Linked DNA regions of Mytilus edulis. The protein of the gene in region 1 purifies or fractionates together with the protein of each later gene. This does not show direct contact. Links are inferred from orthologs where the notes say so. Each region holds a gene or a part of one and is shown in the gene's direction. Other genes may lie near its edges.

Evidence for each region.
Region 2: the proteins of EKC/KEOPS complex subunit Tp53rkb-like (region 1) and nucleoporin Nup43-like purify together in Homo sapiens (affinity purification with mass spectrometry; 3 studies listed by BioGRID and IntAct, counting the BioPlex papers as one, with this or other methods). This does not show direct contact. The link is inferred for Mytilus edulis from reciprocal best matches to the Homo sapiens genes TP53RK and NUP43.
Region 3: the proteins of EKC/KEOPS complex subunit Tp53rkb-like (region 1) and probable tRNA N6-adenosine threonylcarbamoyltransferase purify together in Homo sapiens (affinity purification with mass spectrometry; 5 studies listed by BioGRID and IntAct, counting the BioPlex papers as one, with this or other methods). This does not show direct contact. The link is inferred for Mytilus edulis from reciprocal best matches to the Homo sapiens genes TP53RK and OSGEP.

The regions. Positions count from the first base shown.
Region 1 is NC_092348.1:94,762,663-94,769,776, forward strand, and holds EKC/KEOPS complex subunit Tp53rkb-like, read left to right. Parts: upstream 1-4,794; 5' UTR 4,795-4,899; coding exon 4,900-5,113; intron 5,114-6,073; coding exon 6,074-6,564; 3' UTR 6,565-6,580; downstream 6,581-7,114. Other genes in the region: ganglioside-induced differentiation-associated protein 1-like, read right to left, coding at 1,662-1,857, 4,606-4,674.
Region 2 is NC_092353.1:66,796,436-66,803,480, forward strand, and holds the start of nucleoporin Nup43-like, read left to right. Parts: upstream 1-3,940; 5' UTR 3,941-3,981; coding exon 3,982-4,101; intron 4,102-6,483; coding exon 6,484-6,624; intron 6,625-7,045. Other genes in the region: synaptic vesicle glycoprotein 2C-like, read right to left, coding at 1,783-1,843. UniProt on the Homo sapiens protein: Component of the Nup107-160 subcomplex of the nuclear pore complex (NPC). The Nup107-160 subcomplex is required for the assembly of a functional NPC.
Region 3 is NC_092348.1:62,725,632-62,732,991, reverse strand, and holds the start of probable tRNA N6-adenosine threonylcarbamoyltransferase, read left to right. Parts: upstream 1-4,347; 5' UTR 4,348-4,512; intron 4,513-5,948; 5' UTR 5,949-5,950; coding exon 5,951-6,065; intron 6,066-6,804; coding exon 6,805-6,924; intron 6,925-7,118; coding exon 7,119-7,220; intron 7,221-7,360. Other genes in the region: retinitis pigmentosa 9 protein-like, read right to left, coding at 462-556, 998-1,031. UniProt on the Homo sapiens protein: Component of the EKC/KEOPS complex that is required for the formation of a threonylcarbamoyl group on adenosine at position 37 (t(6)A37) in tRNAs that read codons beginning with adenine.

The DNA.
Region 1 (7,114 bases):
AAATATTCTTTATCCTGTTTCTATTTGAAGCTAACGGATACATTGAAATCATTGTTTATGTTGCAGTTTACTTTGCCGTCCCCGTTCAAATATTGATTTTAATGAAAAGTAAAGTCGGTAACAGGTACGTGCCTGTCCCAAGTCAGGAGCCTGTAATTCAGTGGTTGTCGTTTGTTTATGTGTTACATATTTGATTTTAGTTAATTTTTTTATACAAATAAGGCCGTTAGTTTTCTTGTTTGAATTGTTTTACATTGTCTTATCGGGGCCTTATATAGCTGACTATGCGGTATGGGCTTTGCTCATTGTTGAAGGCCGTACGGTGAGCTATAGTTGTTAATGTCAGTGTCATTTTGGTCTTTTGTGGATAGTTGTCTCATTGGCAATCATACCACATCTTCTTTTTTATACGTCATGTTTCCATGCGTAAATCATAAATTGTCTGCTGAAAAATTAGAACGAATTTTGTATTTGTAATTTACAATGACGACTTTGAGAGGATATGTTCACATTAGTGATATACTGTGTGAACGGCAAGCTACACCAATTATCCAAATATGTGATACCGGCCTGAATTAAAAAAAAAATATACAGGATACATACACATAGATTTTTGTCACACCTAAATTACCATTTTAGCAATTATTACGTGGTCGTTCTTCTTCATTTAAAACAATGACCACTTAAGACTATCGGTAATTATAAAGCCTATCAAATATGTCATAAAACCTTGTACTAGCTTTCGCAAGAAGACTATTTTTTAAATCCGTGTTCTTTAATACTTTAAGCCCTTTAACATTACACTTTTAGTCCATCGCACTTTAGTGTGACCATCGTATTTTAGCGAACAAACAACCATCGCACTTTAGCGTGATACACCATCGTACTTTAGCATAGACCATCGCACTTTAGCGTGACCATCGCACTTTAGAGTCCTACATATATACATGATATCTTTAGATTATTGAAACAATTTTCATAGTTTCCTCAACAACAAAAAAGACAAATTATGAAATCTGCCTTCATTATATTAACTTATATATATATATATGTTATCATGGAGCATGATTTAGTTTAACTTTCTTGAGCAAAAACTGCCTCATGCATCATGAATCATGTGAATGTAACAATTATATTTGAGAGAAGACCAAGAACTGCTGTTCTGATTCTTAAAAAGTATGAAAGAAAGAAAAAAAGAACAAGAAAATCATTAATGTATACCCCAGTATTCTGTATTCAAGTCATCAGTTGAAATTGACATTTATTCAATTTCTTTTTAATTCACTGGTATTTGGACCACAACCTTGGACATTGTCCCATATGTTGCACAAATAGTATCTGTCCAAGGGCCCATGCAATAAAATAGCATAGAGAATTGAAGGCTTAAGACCAATTGCAATGCAATTTCGAAGGGGCATAACTCTTTTATAATCTTGACTGGAACTAATTTTTGAAGCTGAGATAATACTGATATAAATCTTTGCTATAATTTCATAAAAAAGTGGAAAGAATTGTTCACATGACATGAGTTTAATGAGAGAGCTAACAATGCAATTTCCACATTTAAATATTTACAAGGGGCATAACTCTTTTAAAAAGTTGTTAATCCTCACCATCTACATGTAACAATATTGGTGTGAGTAGATTTTACGTATTCTTACCTGCTGGATAGGCTGTATCAATATACTTAATAATCTTGTCTGGTTCTGTAATGATGTTCTCTTCATCTTGTAAGACTGGTACATGGACACCTTCTGGGTTTAATTTTACATACCAAGGAGCATTGTGTTGTCCAGAGAACAGACTGACCAGCTTTGGTTTAAATGGTACCTCTTTTTCAAAGAATGCAAGAAGAACCTAGAAAACAATCCAATAACACTTATCATTCTGCATTCAAATTATTCCTCAGAAAAGCAATAACCTCCACTAACACTTAAACGCCAGCCAAGGTCAATGAATAATAAATTTACATTATTACGTAATGTAGGAAAGTGCTAAGACGGATTTTGTTAACTGAGGTATTATACATTGTAATTAGAACCTACTAAATACTTGATTCATGTTATTTTATCACTAATAAAGTAGATTGTTTAGTTACATTCATAAAATAAATAAAATAAAATGTGTTTTGGTTCACAAACAAAAAATATTAATTTAAGGAGATGTTGTAAGATTGCCAATATTTAGGACAACTTTCCAAATGAAGTGAATTTAAGCAACCTAACAAAACTATTTAGGTCACCCTTAAAAATATAATTTTTGTTTGTTTGATGTGACTAATAGGGTTTGGTTTGTATGTAGGTACTAAGTAGGTAGGTAATTTTGTTTAAGGAAAACAACATAAGTTATAACTTCCGAAAATGTTGTGTCAGCATGGTAAGAAGATCATGAAGCAAGAAAGTTTGTTATATAATTTTTTTCTTGTGGCCATTTAAAGTAATTTTATTTGAGTCCTTTTATTTGTTTGAACATTGTGTATGGAGGTGCAGCAGTTCAACTTCTGTTTGTCTAAGAAATATTACTCCACATACTTTTGCCACTTATTGGTGAATACCAATGACAGATCCAGGGGGAGGGTTCAGGGGGTTGGAACCCCCCTTTTTATTGGATGATCAATGCATTTGAATAGGGACATATGGTTGGAACACTCCTTGATACTGGGTTTGGAACCCCTTTTGAAAATGTCTGTTTCCGCCCCTGAATACCTTCAGTTGAATAATTTAAAGATTTTGACATTACAGTGCAAAAATAATTGTCGTAGAATGTTCAAATAAGACAAGTTTTTCAGAATCCCAAAGAGATATATTAATGATTAGAAGACAGCCAAAATTACTCAATTACACAATTGGCAACTTAAGTTTTATTTTGACCTGTTCTTCAAAAACAGGATCACTAAAAACTAATGCATGCAATGTTAATTTTTGTAATATGCTTGACTTTTCTGCATGTTTCATCCTCGGAGACTAATACAATGAATGCTCCCCAAAGGAAAACATAAATGATAGACAGAAGTATCCATTTGGGTCATACCGATAACTTCGAAAATAATTCAACAACATTGTGGAAAATGAGATGGAAAGGTTGGTACATTTATCAGGGTGAAATGCCATAAGCCAATCTGACTCCCATCAAGCTGCTGAGTCTAGGTCAAGTTGTAGTTTATAACAATCATCTTGTGTTTTTATTTCCCTGTAAATTATGCTGTCATCAGCAAAGAGTCTAAGCTTGCTTTGTTGTAGGTATTTCGGTAAGTCATTTATATACATGTAGATGAGAAACAGTATTTGGCCCAATACTGTTCCTTGTGGTACACCAGATGTTACGGGTACTGAGGTGGAAGAAATGCCATAAATGACTACTGTTTGTGTTCTGTCCTGTAAAAATGCCTGAATCCAATTTAGAGTGTTATTTTCAATACCATAGAATTTGAGCTTGTAAAGGAGGTGACAATGTGAGACTTTTTCGAACGCTTTAGTGAAGTCCATTATGATCAAGTCAATTTGTGTGTTTCTGTTATTTGATTGTGCTAGTTCTTGAATGTAGTCTATTAACTGTGTTTCACACGACCTTGATATTTTTAAGCCATGCTGAAGATCGTATAATATATGATATTTTTCAAGATGAGACATGATGCTACTTGTAATGATGTGCTCCATGAGCTTGCAACATATGTAGGTTAAAGATATTGGCCTGTAGTTTACTGGTTTGTATTTTTGCCCCTTTTTGAAGGCTGGGGCTACATTAGTATGTTTCTGGTCCTTAGGTGTTTCTCCAGTTTCAAGTGACTTTTTAAATATCAATGTAAGGATTGGTGAGATTTGTTCCTTTAGTTCTTTAAGGCCTCTGCCATTGATATTGGCCGGACCAGCTTTGTGTGGATTTATGTTCGACAGTAATTTTGTAATACCTGCTTCAGTGATTGTTATTTTTGCCATTTTCGGGTGAGGACTTGTACCTTTGTCTGGGATGTTATCATCTGTTTCATCTGTAAATACTGATTGGAACTGTTGATTTAAAATCTTTTTCCTCAATGTCTGTGACTAGTTTGCGGTCTTTTTTCAAAGGTGCAACACCAGTGTTATCAGATCGTGTGCTTTTGATATAGCTGAACAGATTTTTTGGTTTTGATTTTGATGTTTCATATTGACCAGGTTCGTTTATTGGCATACATTACTTGACATCACAAAGGTTCCCATCAAATTTTGACGTCATAATACAAAATATCTGGCGCCATAATGGAAAAGTGATTGTTGTATGACATCAAAAGTTCAACAGGACAGATTCTCGGGTCAACTAGGACAGATTTCCAAATAGGGATAAAGTGTGTAGCATCACATGTTCATCATGTATAATTGTTTGTCCCAGTGCATGAATGTTTACGCCGATTCAAACGCTCAATCCAAACTTCGGTCAAGTTGGATGGTAATTAATCTTGTGTGAACTTAAATGTTGGTTTTATTTTGTAGAGGAGAAAAAGACATGCCAATGGCAGTGGGTAACCCATTTCAGAACTTCTGTATTTTATTAGTGGATTGTCATTTCAAAAGAATTTCTGAATGAAAATAAACCTTATCACTCTATATCATTACGTTAATGAATCTTAACCTTTTGAGATGAAAAGGATGTTGGAAAGTAAAACAGTGTAAATTTCTTTTTCACTCCAATTTGTGTCATTGTGCAGACCTTCAGCTGTAACAAAGTTTTCTCCTGTCAGGGAGGTAAAAATGGTCTGCTAATTTTTGTTGCTGTCATTGACGCGTTTGAAGATAGGAAAATATATCAAAACTTTCAAGCACCAAATTCACATTGATTAAAAAATAAAAATTATCAAACTGCAAGCACTTGGCCGATATTTCCAGAAATAAGTAGCGTTGTTACTTTAAAGAACATCATCGGAGTATGGAAGATGAATCAAGAAATAGTATTGCTACAATTCCCGTGTTGATGAAGCAAGGAGCAGAAGCCAAATTATATAAATCAACATTTTATGGAAAACCCTGTATTATCAAGGAAAGGTTTACGAAATGTTACCGCCATCCTTCATTAGACAAGTCTTTGACAACCCATCGAATTAAATCAGAAGTAAGAGCACTGTTGAGATGTCGAATGAATGGTAATATATTTTCATTGATTCCAAATTAATGTTATTTTCGGTGACCAGCGGGAATCATATACGATTTTTGTATGCCGTTATTGGACATCTCAAAGGTTCCCATAAAAAGTTGAAGTCACAATACAAATGTCTGTCGCCATAACGGAAAAATTATTGTTGTATGACTGCAATAGTTCAATTGGCACAGATTTCCAAATAGCTATAAGGCACATGATTGGGGTGGGTTGGGATGGTCTGATCCCTGATGCTATATTCGTAATTATAATACATTTACATGTAATTCATAATTTTACTAAAAGTAATTCTAACCTTGGACAAGATGTTGTTAAGTTTACACAAAATTTAAATGTAATAATTTTGTTGTTAGGAGACCAGTCATGCCAGTAGGGAAGTAATCTTTTATTATAGAATTTATGAATTTGCTGTTCTCAGTACGAGTACAGAAGTGAAAATTTATTGTCATATTAAAAACTGAACTAAGGGGGTACATATTAAAAATAGTGAGACAAGATATAACACAAAATACATTATTTGTAAGTCAACCTTGAAATACAGAAATGCATTACAAATTGCGTCAACAGGTCAAAATAACACAAAGTATGGTTAGAGAGTACTTGCTGTTTTAACTGTAAGCTACATGTAGTTAATGAAAACAACTAATAATAAAAAATATTCATGCATCAGAGACAAGAAGTCATCATGATTAGCCTGCATCGTCAGCTACAGATGCCCCAGACTAGTAAAACTGTATTCATTTGTTATTCAAAGTATTTGGAAATATTGTTAGACAATTCCAATAGACACATAACATGCATAAACAATATATATGAATATAGGCCTTCAGATAAGTAGTACTGTACATGTAGTTGGAAAAGATTTTGTTGCAGAAAGTAATGTATATTAACACTGTACATGTAGTATATTTTATGTTTGAAAAAATATTGTTATTTTTAATTTCAGGCATTTGCACACCAACCGTATATTTTACAAACATGGAAAATTCCAGTATTTACATGGAAGAAATTGAAGATGCACAAACTGTTAGAGAGTATATTCAACATGTTCAAGCCAATGAAAACAGTGATACCGCAAATAATATTCTTAAACCTTTAGGAGTGAAAGTTGGAGAAATTTTAGGAATAATGCATTCAAATAACATTGTACATGGTGACTTGACAACATCAAATATGCTTCTTAGAGGTAACCCTGCTGGATTAGATGTTGTTATCATAGATTTTGGTCTCAGCCATTTTGAAAATTTTGCTGAGGAGAAAGGAGTAGATTTATATGTACTAGAAAGAGCCATTTTAAGTACGCATCCGAATACAGAGGATTTTTTTCAGACAATTCTTGACTCATACAAAAAATACAACTTAAAAAGTTCAGTTGAAGTTGTTGCCAAATTAGATGAAGTTAGACTTCGTGGAAGGAAAAGAACAATGGTTGGATAAATAAAGCTACAATTTATTTCTGGTTAACTTTTTTTTATTCATTACTGACAGTGTATATGGCTATATGCAGTGTTTTCTTCAAAATGTATATATCATGGTTAAATGCAATGTCCCTTTTCAGCAGACCATTACATTCTCTATAACCCTATCAAATAAATAGCCTTCTTTTTATTAGGTAAAGTTTATTCATAATTGTTCTGTTTCTTTCTGATTTAATATATAAGAAAATATGGTCTGATTGACAATGAGACATTACTCTTCACCAGAGACCAAATGACATTGAAGTTTACAACTCCAGGTTGCTATACAGCCTTCAACAATGAGAAAAACCCTTACTGCATAGTCAGCTGAAAATGGACCTGAAATGACAAATGTAAAACAATTCTAACAAGAAAACTAATTGCCTGATTTATGTTACCAAAACAATGAAAGAAAAAAATACAAATGTACATGATAAACAGCTACAAATGAAAAGCACTTAGTAACATGCTCCTTACGTATGATAGGCACTCACACTCACAGAATATGGCAGGGTTTAAATACCAAACCT
Region 2 (7,045 bases), on another chromosome or scaffold:
CTAGTAAAAGTATTTTTTATATAAAACATGAACCTTTAAATTGTTTACTCCTAAATATAGTATTATCAGGTTTTCAGTGAAACAAGAAATAGCTATTTAGATGTTTACAGTTTCAGGTTTTTTTTTATAAAATTCAGTCTGATATAATTATGTCATATTTGTTTTCATATCCCTGCAAAATTTTCATTTTGGAGTAGTAAATATAAAAAAAAACATCAAAATAATCTGATTGCTATTATAACTGATTTAAGTGTAAATTAAAGGCCGTCTAAATGCTTACATTATTTTATATTCTTTAGGGAAACAAATGAATTGTATCATAAGAAGTTGAAAAGATTTTATTGGCAGAATGACAACAATATATGGAAGTCAATAATTCATAAAATGTCAATCTGATATTTGTGACAATTTTTACATATAAATCTACAAAATTTCTAATAAATTGTTAAATTTGTATGATAAAGATGAATGTATTATGTATATAATCTGTTAGCAACATCATTAGACAATCATGAATGATAATGTGAGTCTAAAGGAGGCTGGAAGGTACAAAAATGTCAGCAAAAATATTATTTTTTTGTTTTTATTGCAAATTGCATTTATTACACTATCAGTTGTTACTTTATGATATGGTAAAAATAAATATCAATCAAAAACATGATTTCATTTTGGCCCCAGATGACTTTTAAAATGTTTATCACATTGAAAAACTCCAAATTATCTCCCTTTGCCAATTTTAAACATCATTATGTGTTGACATAAATTGCTGCTGCAATATAATAAGATTTGAGATTTTACAAAAGTTTTTCATTTGACCATTATATATACGATGTCCTCATAATAACATACCATACACAAAAGAAAAAATTGCATTTAAGAATTGAATGCTTCTTTTTGTAAATTTATGGGATGTAAAAGCATTGACCGAAGTACATTTTGTGTGAGCACATAACATTCTTAAATTGTTGGTAGACTCAACACTTTGAAAATTGAAGAAATATAAGCTCATGCTATTTTTATTTAAACTAACACAATTCAGTTTTTTATTTTACCATATTTTCCATTGACCAAGTTTGATGAAAAACTTTGGTAGTGACAAATGACCAATGACTTGGACCAATTCAAGTTTACCAGTTTTGACCAAGTTTTTGATGAAAAACTTTGGTAGTGACAACCAATGATTTAAACCAAGTTTACCAGCTTGACCAAGTTTTTGATGAAAAACTTTGATTGTGACAAAAGATGAATTAGACCAATGAAGTTTACCTGATCACAGAATACTTTTACCTGTTTAACTTTAATAGTTACAATGATGCTACACCAGAGGCGGATTAAGGGAGGGGGGGCCCAGGGGGGGGGCCTGGGCCCCCCCCTTTTGAGAAAAAAATTTGGTTGCTTATATAGGGAATCACTGAGGCTTGACGAAATCGGCCCCCTCTTAGGCAGCCAGTGGGCCCCCACTTATGAAATTTCTGGATCCGCCACTGTTCACATGGTATTAATTCACACATTTTCCTAAAGTGGTACAAAAAACATGATAAAGCATGCATCCACTTAAAGAATAACAGAAAAATTGGAAATTGAAAAAAAATTAAGTACAGGTACATGTATTAGATAGACATAAAAATTATTTCCCCTGAGAATTTAAACTGTATATTGATAATTTGTAAATTTTATATATGTCACTAAAATAATATACTTACACAAACACGCTCCAAATAAAGAGTATATAAAAGAGTGAAAATTTAATGACTGAGTGTAACAGTGTCAAATAATAATTACCTTGATTGGCAATGAGTGGGTCATACTCATCAGACCGTGACATCTTGAAATTCTCTTCCATCAGAGATCAGGCTAAAAAACAAAGAAAAATCAAAATAAAACTTCTATCTCATTTAATATACATGTATGTAAAGTGACCCGGTCCAATACTAAGAATGGTCTAAATATTCAAAATTGAGAATTTGTATTGGAACAGATATTTGGTTGTTTCTTTAATTTATTTACATCTACAAATTATTTAATAGCACATATTTCTTCGCTGATCATATTGGAAATTAGAAAAGCGAGTATTATTTTGACGTTATTTCTGAATTAAGGAGATTTCACATATATATTTTAAATGGTTTATTATACAATGTATGACACATATATATTTTAGATAAAGAGCTACACTTAGAAAATATTACAAAATGGTTTTCAAGATCTTGACCTAAATAATATAAATGTTGTAATATGTAATTATTTTATACAGTTAAGAATAAATAACTTGAAAATGAAAACATGTGAAAGATTTAAGTGAAAATACTCTAATATCAGACAAAGGTCAACTCTTGAATTATTCTTTTAACATTTTTGTTTGTTTGTTAAGTAATTAAACTATTTGAAATTAAGCAAATTAAAGATAGGCAAGATAAAAATAATTGCACACTCCTTAAAATTAGAGACAGATAATTATGCGAAAAACTATAGATGGATCACAAATGTTATGTTAAAACATGCATGTTGGATAAGTTGAAGATGACATGGACATGATGGATGAAGAGCATTTCATATTTGAATGTCCCCTCTAAATTTTTTTAATAAAACAATTCTTTGACAAAGTTTTGATTGATATAATTTTTGGTGTAATAACACCACTTTTAAGCCCAGGTTTTAGGCTATTTTGTTGGGTCCAGTTTTTATTGGTGGAGGAAGCCGGAGTGCCCGCATAAAACCACCAACCTTAGATAAGAAAACTGACAATCCTAGTCAATTAAGATTGGAGTCAAGTGCACCCACACGAAAAAAAAAAGGGGGGGGGGGGGGCTTTCAACCTCAGTGTTGACTGGCTAGTGATTACAGTAGTAACTACATTTTTGTACTTAGACCACTTGGGCAATGAGGCCCCAATAAAATTTTGATAAGTTGTCAAGGGTTAAGTTAAGCAAAGTTACAAATGGAGTTATCCCTCTTTGTACTGGCCCTCTCCACTTATTTATTTATTTATTTATGACCACAAATGTATACAAAAAGCATGTACCACCAGTATTCCATACGTGTGTAGATATTGCATGAACTCAGTGATTTTTATTGGATCAGATTTATATGCTCAATATGGGCCCTATACACCTTATCGCTAAACCCCGGCTGACCCGTTCGCTTGAACTTTTGACGCAAACAACAATCACTTTTTCATTGTGGCGTCAGATATTTTGTATTGTGATGTCAAAATTTTATGGGAACCTGTGTGATATCCAGTAATGGCGGACAAATAGCGATGAGGTGATAAAGACACTTTGGTTGATATGCAATCAGCCATGTTTGCCTTGTGTATACCATATTAAATACTATTATAAAAGCTAAGCAACTTAATTCTTTACATAAGAACAGGATATAAAAAACATCAAGCACATACATGACATAAGCAGTGGCGGATCCAGAAATTTTCATAAGCGGGGGCCTACTGACTGACCTAAGAGGGGGCCCGCTCCAGTCATGCTTCAGTGATTCCCTATATAAGCAACCAATTTTTTTCCCAAAAAGGGGGGGCCCGGGCACCCTGGCCCCCCCTAAATCCGCCTGTGACATAAGCACATAAAATAATAAAATCAAATCTAAACTTACTTACAACTCGGAGTCGTACCCTTGTATATTTTTTCCCAAGCTAACCATAAAGGATGTGTATAGACTATAGTACAAGAAAGTTTAGACAGAATAATTAACGTCTACACAGCCTTATTTCCAAAATATTATATGACATGATCAGTTTATAGGAAGAAACAAAAATAAATATCTTACCATTCATATAAATCTGTTAATGAATTATACGTGTGAAACATTTAGTTGTAGGTTCATTGACTCTCAAATGCTGTATTGAACTGAAGTTTGTGATGACAAAATTCTATTTTTTGACATGTAAACATTTGTTTAATTTTGGAATGAATTCCGGAAAAAATCCGGCATCGTTCCGGATGTTCCCGCCATGTGCAAATTTTGAAAATGGCTGACATAAGAGCAACATTTGCTTCACAGAAAATCAGCAAAATCAGATGGAAAAACATTATAAAAAATAGTCTTGAGGGACCAGACACATTTGTCACAGGAAGCTGGGATGATGAGGTCATTATATATCATAAACTGAATGATTCTTACAGTATATAAACCATATAAACACAAAACTTTAACAATTTGCTACATTTTCCCTGTTATTCTCGAATTATATGTATTTGAGCTATAGCTATAGACTGCATATGACTTTTAAATGAAGATCCATTCAGGAATGATTTAATAGGTTACTAAAAGAAAGTCAAACTGATTATTTTATGGCATCTTGTTATTTTAAGAGAAGTGATGACTGATGAGTGATGTTATGACAAATTAAGACAACTTTCTATTTAGACTCATTTCCGTCAAGAACTTTGGTTTTAATGAACATCATTCTTGCATTTAGGGGCGTCATCACTTCTGTTCAAATGTTGAGTAAGTGGTTGGAAAACTATAAAGCTTAAGTGCACAAATTATTCGGCAAATTAAATTCTCATTCATGTCATTTTAATAAACGTATTTACACTTTTGGTATTTAGCTGTATCTTGCCCCAGAATGACCTTAGATCGACTCCAAATCACCTTTTGACGTCAAGCAACAATCACCTTTAAATTGTGACGTCAAATATTTTAAATTATGATGTCAAAGTTTACAGGAACCTGTGTGATTTTACGTAATGGCGGACAAATTTGCATACAAAGTGTAAATACGTCTATTGTCTTTCAGCACTGCTGTCATTAGGGAATTCTGTCTGTATCTATAGTGGTACATGTATGTGTAGAATCCTGTTTAGGCTTTTATACACGGTGGAGAAAAGCGCCGTTGTTATGGGCGGTGTTCTTGTAGAGTGGTCTTAAATGCCTCTACAGAACCTGCATGCACAACTTTATCTGGTAGTTGGTTACAGTGAATAGTTGTTTCCATAAAAAATGAATGTTTATTCTGTGGTTTGTTTATATTTGGTACTTTAAGTCCTCTGGTGTTATTGATGACCTTGACGTTCGATGATATTGTCAGTTTCACAGTCTGAATATGTTTTGGCTTTGATCGTTCGCTAGGGTCGTGCTGGTATGACAAAATAGTCCGCTGGTGGAGCTGGCACCAGAATTGTGATTAAGTGCAAAAATATTATTTCTAGTTTATCCTCCACAATGACGACAACTTAGACACTTGATGAGCATTTATAGTGCAGGGATGCATGCGATCCCCTCTATCTGGTAAATGACGTCTGACATAAAGGCGTGCACTATTGATGAGATTATCTGGTGACGGACAAACTCGAAAGTGTTCTATTGATGCTACATTTATAGAAGATAGTTCCAGGATAGCTCTTGTTTCAACTTAGAGGTTAAAAAATGTTTTAATTTCATGCATAAGCCTAGTTTTCCTCAGAGGGAAATTTGTGAACAGAATAAATTTGAATAATGGATTTTCACCTACAGAGAAATGCAAAAAGTCACAATGGCCATGATGGCGGCATGTTTACTTTGAAAATGAGTGTTGCAAAGTTCAAGCTTGCGCTGTAAATAAATCAACCAGTGAAATACAAAAAAATAGAAAATTAAGATACATGTACATGTAAGAAAATTTTATTTTGATTTCTGCATAAGTACAAATATACAAAACAAGCTCTAAGGAGCTTTTGACCAAATATAAAAACATATAAATAACATAAAAACTGTTTAATTTGACAACCTGTAATACAAAGTTGAATCTCACATACATTTGTACATACACGTACATGTAGCATGCAATAAAAATATGCAACAAATTTATAAAACTTACTTTAATACTTTGTTAGATGTCCTTTGAGCTTGATTACATTTAATATCCTTTTCGGAATTGTATTTATTAAGCAATGAATATCGAAGGGCGTAATATTGACCCTAATCATGCAAATACGATAAATTTTTTCGAACATTTCATTTTGTAGATTTAATCATCCCAGTACGTGTTTGAAGTTTTCTTTTTATATACAATGTACATTGTATAACCAAATGTTTTCTATCACATTCAAGGGCACAAATTAAGTCTGATGACTGTGCAGGCCAGCTAACAATGTATTCCGTTCTAAGCTACAAATTTGTGGGTGTACTGTGCAATGATGGACAGGAGCATTGTCATCTTGGAAAAAAGGATGACCTACCCAAAATTGCTGAGCTAATAAGCCTCTAATGTTCATCAAGTATTTCTTGGTATTTAACTAAATTAATATTGCCTTCTACAGGAGCAAGTGTGCCAACGCCATTCCATCAAATACAACCCAAAAGTTAGAAAAAATGATAATGTACAATATAGAGGCCTTTCAGGTTGAGCTTATTTAAGGGAAAAAAATACAGTGCATATTTTCACAAAGCAGGATACATATTAGCTTAACACAGAAAGTTATTTATGATTTGTTTTGGACAAAATTAGGGTGATTGAAGTATGTTAAATTTAAATCTTTTCTTTTGCAGGAAAATAAAGTATGTTTATGGAAAGTTAATAGAGAAAAGAAATTTGATGATGGAGATGGCAGGGGAACAGAAGGGGATGTTGATAATGACCCAATACCTATTTGTGAGGCCTCTCATATAGGAGATGTAACAGGGCTAGAGGTTTGTTATACAGTTTATATACATAAAATTGAGAATAGAAATGTGTCAAAGAGACAACAACCGGACCATATAACAGACTACAGCACAAGGTCAAAAATAGGTCTTCAATGCAACGAGAAATTCCCACACCCAGAGGTGTCCTTCAGCTGGCCCCTAAATAAATGTATATACTAGTTCAGTGATAATGAACGCCATACTAAACTCCAGATTATACACAAGAAACTAAAGTTAAAAATAATACAAGACTAACAAAAGCCAGAGGCTCCAGACTTGGGACAGGCACAAATATGCGGTGGGGTTATACATTTTGTACATGTATGTTATCATTGTCAAATAGAAACCCTTCATATGTTGTTAGTCAGTTAATTTTTAAATCCAGTATCAGATAATTTCATGCATTTTAGTAGAGGACAAATGAGGT
Region 3 (7,360 bases), about 32 Mb from region 1:
TATTTGTTTTTCTTTTTTTAGAGAATTAAGAACAAAATGAAAATACTGGGCTCTTTCTTTAGATTGGACTTTCATGTTAATCTTTGTTTGAAATTGTTAGGATCCATCAATCTTTTACACTGTCTACAGAGATTTTTAACAGGGTACCAATGCTTAGAAATTTAACTTAAGGTGGTACCTAACACTTTCACTAAAATCAATTTGGCTCGTTTAATTTTCATTAAATTTTGACAAAGTATTCACTTTGACCCTTTGACAAAAATATAAAAATTTCAAAAAATTTGAACCAACCATTTTATTAGAAAGAAATACACTGGTTATATAGCAGTTTGACAAACACTAATTTTGATCATTGAGAAGCATAAAATTCTCTTAACAACGCAACTTAATTAAAACGTTCAGCTGATTTTACAGAGTTATCTTCCTGTAGTGTTAGGTACCACCTAAGTCCTTAAACTCACCCATTTCAGTCTTTGGTGAACTTGTGGAGGTTCTATCTGTTTTCCTTTTTCAGGGCATTTGTCTTTCTTGTGTCCATTCTTCTTACAATAAAAACCTAAAATTATATCTTCTTTTAAATAGAATAAAAATAATCACAGAATTAACAAGTATTGGAAACCTATAAACAGTGATAGTGCTTCTTAGAGTTCCCCTTGTGCAAAATTTAATTAAAATCAAATCCTTTAATTGCTCCTGTTCTGATATGTCACACATCAAGGTGTGCGACAATGTAGCTGAATGGGAGCAATTCAAGAATTTAGTTTTAATTAAAGTGCCATTTTATTCTTTCTTTTTTTTGGGGTTAATTGTGATATCTGAATCTGTAAATATTAATTTTCAAGATGATCTGTATTATACAAGAAACTCATCTCCAAAAAATCGTTCATGTGTCACTTATATAGGTTAGACTTATTTCCCCTTTCCATTTAAAATATTTTCACAATGTAACTGAAACGATCAAATAAGAAAAAAAAGGTAAATATGGATTTATTCTTACACTGAATTGAATCTTTATCCTTGTCTCTATCCATTTATGTCAACTCTTCTGATAAAATCATTTCATCCTGTGGTATATATCACTCTGCAATGGAAAATGTCCTTTCAGACAGACTGAAAAGCAATAAAAGAACAGTATTCCTGCATCCTCCATGTTGTATATATTATCTTCAAGTTCAATAACTCCAAAACTATTTTTATTCATATTTTATACTTGTTGATAAATATCTTATAACAGGGGCTTATACATAATGTATTATAGTCCTAGCTTAGTACAAGAAAAGTAGATTTGACATGAGATGGCAAACTATATAATTGTTCACATAATTTTTACTTCCCTATAACCAAACTCCTAGTAAAAAAGTTGGTTTGCAGAGCATTACTTGCAGAGGACTTGTGTTTTACAGAAAGCATAAATTTGTCATAATTACTGTAAAAAACCAATATGTGTACAGAGCAATAAATTATATGAACTGTAATGTGCATATGCAGAAGGTAGAGACAGGGGTGTCCTGCTTTTTCTTGTATAAAGGCAAATTGGTTTTTTAGATTTTAATCTGTGGACAATGGAATTTAGTATATATATATATATAAATACATATTTGTTAGACTTAGATGGATGTCTGTATCTTTTAATTGAATGTGAAATCACAATCTCAAATAAATAAAAGTTAACCAACTAGATCAATGTTGCTTTATTCCTTTCATATAAATAAATTACATGTGGATATAAGACAATGTAACAGAATCCAAATACAAAGATAACGTAAAGACATCTAGGGGCAATACTATACAGTGTCAAACAATACTGGAAATTCAGAAATTTAAAAATATTGCGTGCATTTATTATTGTGATTTCGTAATTTAAACTAAAATGCGATTTAATTTTTGCGATATTATAAATTATCCTGTTTAAATCATATAAAATATTCAAATATGCGAGTTTAAATTATTGCGATTATAACTCCGTGGAATTTTTTGCAATAATAAAAACATCGCAATAATTTCTGAATTTACAGTAGACAGAATATAGAAAAATAAAATCAAATATTGAAAGTATTATCATTTGGATTTTTTTAACATTAGAGTATTTAGGTTCAACGATCATTTGAGTTTGGAATAATATGTCTTTACGAAATCAGGAGTATGACAGTAATTATAAAAAAGAAGATGTGGTATGATTGCCAATGAGACAACTCTCCACAAGAGACCAAATTTTAAAGACACAGAAATTAACAACTATAGGTCACAGTAAGGCCTTCAACAATGAGTAATATTTTCTTTAAATAAAATTGTGAAATCATTGCAGCAAGTTGGTAAAAAGGACATTGATTAGAGAAGCCAAATATTAAACGTAGATTTGAGAATGACAAAAAGACATTAATAAGAGATCATACATGTCATATAGGCAGTTGATTTGTATTTTTCATTTATTATGAATTCATATTTGGACATTGAATTGAGGAATGAACAATTTGATCTGAGTCTTACATATATAATAGAAACTTTTATAATTCTTCATTCTGCAAATTATTTCAGTGAAAAGGTGTTAAATAATTGGATAATGATTGTGATGGATGGCTGCTTAACGTCCAGTGGCAAATTAATATGCATATTTGGAACTAGAACGAGATCATGTAAATGAAATACGGAAAGGGATTAATAAAGGTTGCAATAACTTGTTTCCCAATCCAATATAAATAAATATTTTTAAAAACTAAGAATATTAGTCTGCTTTGTACAAGATGGACACACTACACAATTTTATTAACATGTAGATTTGTAGTACACAAGGAAACAGTCCACAGGAAGATATGTCACCTAACCCGGACACACTATTCAGACTCTGAGCTGATCAATCTTGGCTGGAACTGTTAATGCTGTCTAAAAATTGGAAGTAAATAGGTACAGATGAAGAAGTACACTTCCAAGACATACCGATTATGAGGTTGTCTGCATGTTGATATTGTAAAATATCAGCTTCAAGTCACAATATACAGCTTTTTGTCAAACAGGCACAGGGAACGAGATCAAAATGCCTTCATATTGTGTCGAGCAGCTTATATTTTACAATATCAATATGCTAATAACCTGATAATCGATTTATTAGGCTGTATTTGGGTCTTTTGGAAGTGCTTTCTTAGCTACACCAGCAACCAGAAGATGATCTGATAAGTTCGGGTCAAACTTATCAACGTTGGTTCAAGCATTATGACGTCACTGATATGTCCGGGTCAACATATTGGACGTCACAAAGCCGTAATATGCAATTTTATTAAGAACTGAGCAGAGTGATATAGACAGTGGGACGACCGATAACATACCAATATACTACATGTACTAGTATAATTTTTGTTACAATATTGTTTCAGATAAGGGTGAAGGTTGGAACCTATTAAAATGTTTAAAACCACAGCATACATGTATGTTTGCATCTGTCCTTAGTTTGGGATATGATTTTATTCAAGTAAAATGCCGTTATATAGTCCCATGTTGTTAAAATTGCAATTAAAATGATATGCACGCACAAAATGCAGCTTGTGTCAGCATAATCCTGTTATACATCATTTGACACAGTTCATGAACTTAAATACTGGGGTTGTTTATAAAAAGTGCGAAATTTCATTTGAGAGTCTGAGAACTGGGAAAGAGTGGTTTGATATGCCAATTAGGGTATGCATAGATAAGTCAATTAGGATATAATACCCCAATTGGGATATACATGTAGTACCACAATTAGAGTTATTCCCAACCTGTTTAATATAAATTAGACCGTTCTTTTTCACGTGTGAATGGTTTACACTAGTCATTTTTGGGGACCTTAACAGCTTGCTTTCTGGTGTGAGCCAAGGCTCCATGTTGCAGACCGTACAATTCAATAATCACTAAAGTCAGTAAAGAGATCTTATTCCTGTAAAAATTTTGTATTTTCTTTTCATAGTTTGTTCAACTTATCATCATGCATGTCATGTTTGTGATTCTGAACTTGAGAGCATTTTTCTAATTTTCATTTCATGTGTGATAATTTACAAACTAGGAATGATACACAAAGTCTATGATACATTTAAAATACCTAATTTTAAATCTACCCCAAGCTTCTCTAACACAGTAAAATCGGATACTAGTCCGTCTCCGTTTCGAGTTTTAGTATACATTTGCTAAAAGAAAGAACAATTTTGTATAAAAATAAAGAAATCACAAAAAGTTTGCACACATTAGATTGACTATTGATTTACAAAATTTAAAAAAAAAATCTTCGTTCTAAATTAAAATTTCTGTATAATATTCTAGCCATTTTAATTAGGTTCATAATAGTTAAAAGAATGACCTGTACGGGATCAAACTCCAGTTACTATAAAATACAAAGCGAAAGTACAAACTGAAAGTAGAATTTCTCAGCAGCCCTCATGAATGGGAGTTATGATATGAACCAGAGACATATTCCCAATAAAAACTAATCAACAACAAACTAAAAACCATATCTCATATTGCTATCAGTGTGTTTTCTTAAAGCAGGTAAATTTAAGCAGTTAAGGAGGCTCGAGGGTATAAAAATTTCAGAAAAAAAATAAACATTTGTTTTTCATTACAAATTTTATTTATTACCATTTGTAGTTGTTACTTTATCATATGGTACAAAAAAAAAATTAAAAAAATTAATTCGTGTTGGCCCCAGATGACTTTTAAAATGTAAACATCATCTAAAAAGTTCCAAATTATCTCCCTTTGGTGGAAAAATGCCATTTTTTGGCTTTAAAATTGAAATATCTCTTTTAACTCATCGGTGACCTATATTTTTTAATATGATTTCTATATATGCTTTACTTAAACTAAATTATTGTAAAATTTGAGCAATTTCTGTAATGAATTTCTTTTTTTATTTCGATATTACCTTTATTTCTCTTATTAGTTCAACAGGAAAAAAACACTTTTACAAAGATGTATGCTTCTTTCGAAGGCAGATTGTGAGTGCAAATGAACGGTGACCCCATTTTTTTATTTTATTTTTCTCTTAACTATAAGATAAAGTTCATTTATAGTAAAATATTGAGAAATCCTATATAAATGATTTAGACCCGCGAACCCCCTTAATTGAATTAAATCTATTTTTTGCATTTAGAATTTTATCCAATTTGCTCACTTATATAGCTGACAGATGTATTGACTTTTGTTTGTTTAGACCATGCAGTTTTAACACATTTTACACTGGTGAATACCATAGAACACCTAAATTATAGATGAGAGACACACTTTTATAGCCTTAAAATTGCATAATTTTTTTATAAGGTTCATCATAACAAATGGACAAATATGGGTGTATTTTCTCTTTAAACTTATATGTGTACAGACTTGAAATTTTTAATTCATTCCATATTTATTTGGTATTATAATGTTTTGTGCTGTTCATAACACTTTCCATACAATGTATTTTGTATAGATAGTGTTGTGCACGGCACAGTACATTCTATTGAAAATGTACTATCTTCTTTGTAATAGAAAGTGTTGTGCACAGCACAGAACATTAAAGTATAGAATAAACATGGAATTTATTAAAAAAAATACAACAAATAAAGAAATTATGTAAATTCCATAATTGATATTTGATAATAATTCCAAGTTCAAATAATAGCCTGTTATTTGACATTTCTGGGCCTTTTATAGCTGACTATCCTTTATAGGTTTTGCTCATTGTTGAAGACTAAAATCTTTAAAAAAAATCCTTTGATATTAATTTTTCATAACTTTTTAAAGAAAAAAGATGCCAATGTTAAATGTATGAAAAAAATCTAGAAATCATTTCCAGCCAAATTTTTAATTGTCTATATCTTCAGGATCAACAATTACTTAACATTATACCAGATTTTTTGTCTATTAAAAATAAAGGATATTTGATTTAAGAATACTTGTTTCTGGTCACAATCAATATATTCTTGTTCTTGTCTTGTAAATAGAAATGGTAATAGCAATTGGCTTTGAAGGAAGTGCCAATAAGATTGGAATTGGTATAATACAAGATGGAAAAGTGTTATCAAATCCAAGACGTACCTATATAACTCCACCAGGCCAAGGTATGTAAAAACTTAAAATTTGATATTCATGGTTTTGAAATAAGTACTTGCCAATAAACTATTTCATATTACAGACTTTTGACTCTGAGGTTTATATTTTATTGACAGGTTACTTAATCTGTCATTTTGTCTGTTGTAGAAAATCCTGGTATTCAGTCAAGTAAGAGCAACTTCAATAAGTAAAATCAAGCTTCAAATCAGTAAATTTACTGTTTCTTGTTGTCTATAAATGACAAAATCATGTGAAAACAGCAAAATTTCTCTTTAAATTGCACAGATTATATGTTTGATTTTTCTTCTTTTTCATGATTTCTTATCACCATGATCACAGAGAAGGGACCTGTGGAAATTTAATCTTGAGTCAAAAGTCCAGTTATATGAAAAAAGTCTATTAATAGCAAAATATGAGCAATTTGTATTTGGATATAAAGAAGATATGTTATAAGTGAAAATGAGACAACTCTCCATCCAAGTCACAACTTGTAAAAGTATAGGTCAAAGTAAATTTTCATGATATTGGAAGTTAGGTACAGTTTGGTGTTTTCGTCATATACTTTTTGAATTGCCAATATACCTGATATTAATTATTCTATGAGAACCTGCATCCATATATAAAAGTCTTTGAATTACAATGTATTACATTTATAATAAAAGAAGTTTAAAACAGAAAAACTGAAATATTAAATTAAGATCCTTTTAGTACTACATGTAGTATAAAACTGTCCTTTTGGGATTACAGGTTTTTTGCCCAGAGACACAGCTAACCATCATCGAGCTAATGTTCTAGTTGTATTAAAGGAAGCACTTGATGAGGCTAAAATAGATCCAAAACACATTGATGTGGTGTGTTATACAAAAGGTCAGTCTGAGATTATTTTTTTATTAACTAACATATCATGATTTTGCCAATTTATTTTTCGGTTTGACCTAATTGTTTTTTCCATAACTTGATATTCTGGGTCATTGTCATATATAAAGATAATTGTTGTTCGTCAAATAAAATTGAAATTTTAATTGTGTATTTTGCATTTTGCATTTTATTGTTTTTTACAGGTCCAGGAATGGGTGCCCCATTAGTATCTGTTGCCATAGTAGCGAGGACAGTAGCACAGTTATGGCAGAAGCCAATCATAGGAGTAAATCACTGTATTGGACGTATCCTTAACTGCATATAGACTTCAACTTCATGATCACTATTTATCATATAAATACAAAATTACATACCAATGAATCAAAGGAGATGTGGGAAATACTTCAATGAGACAGCAACAAAAAAATATAAAACTAGATGTGTC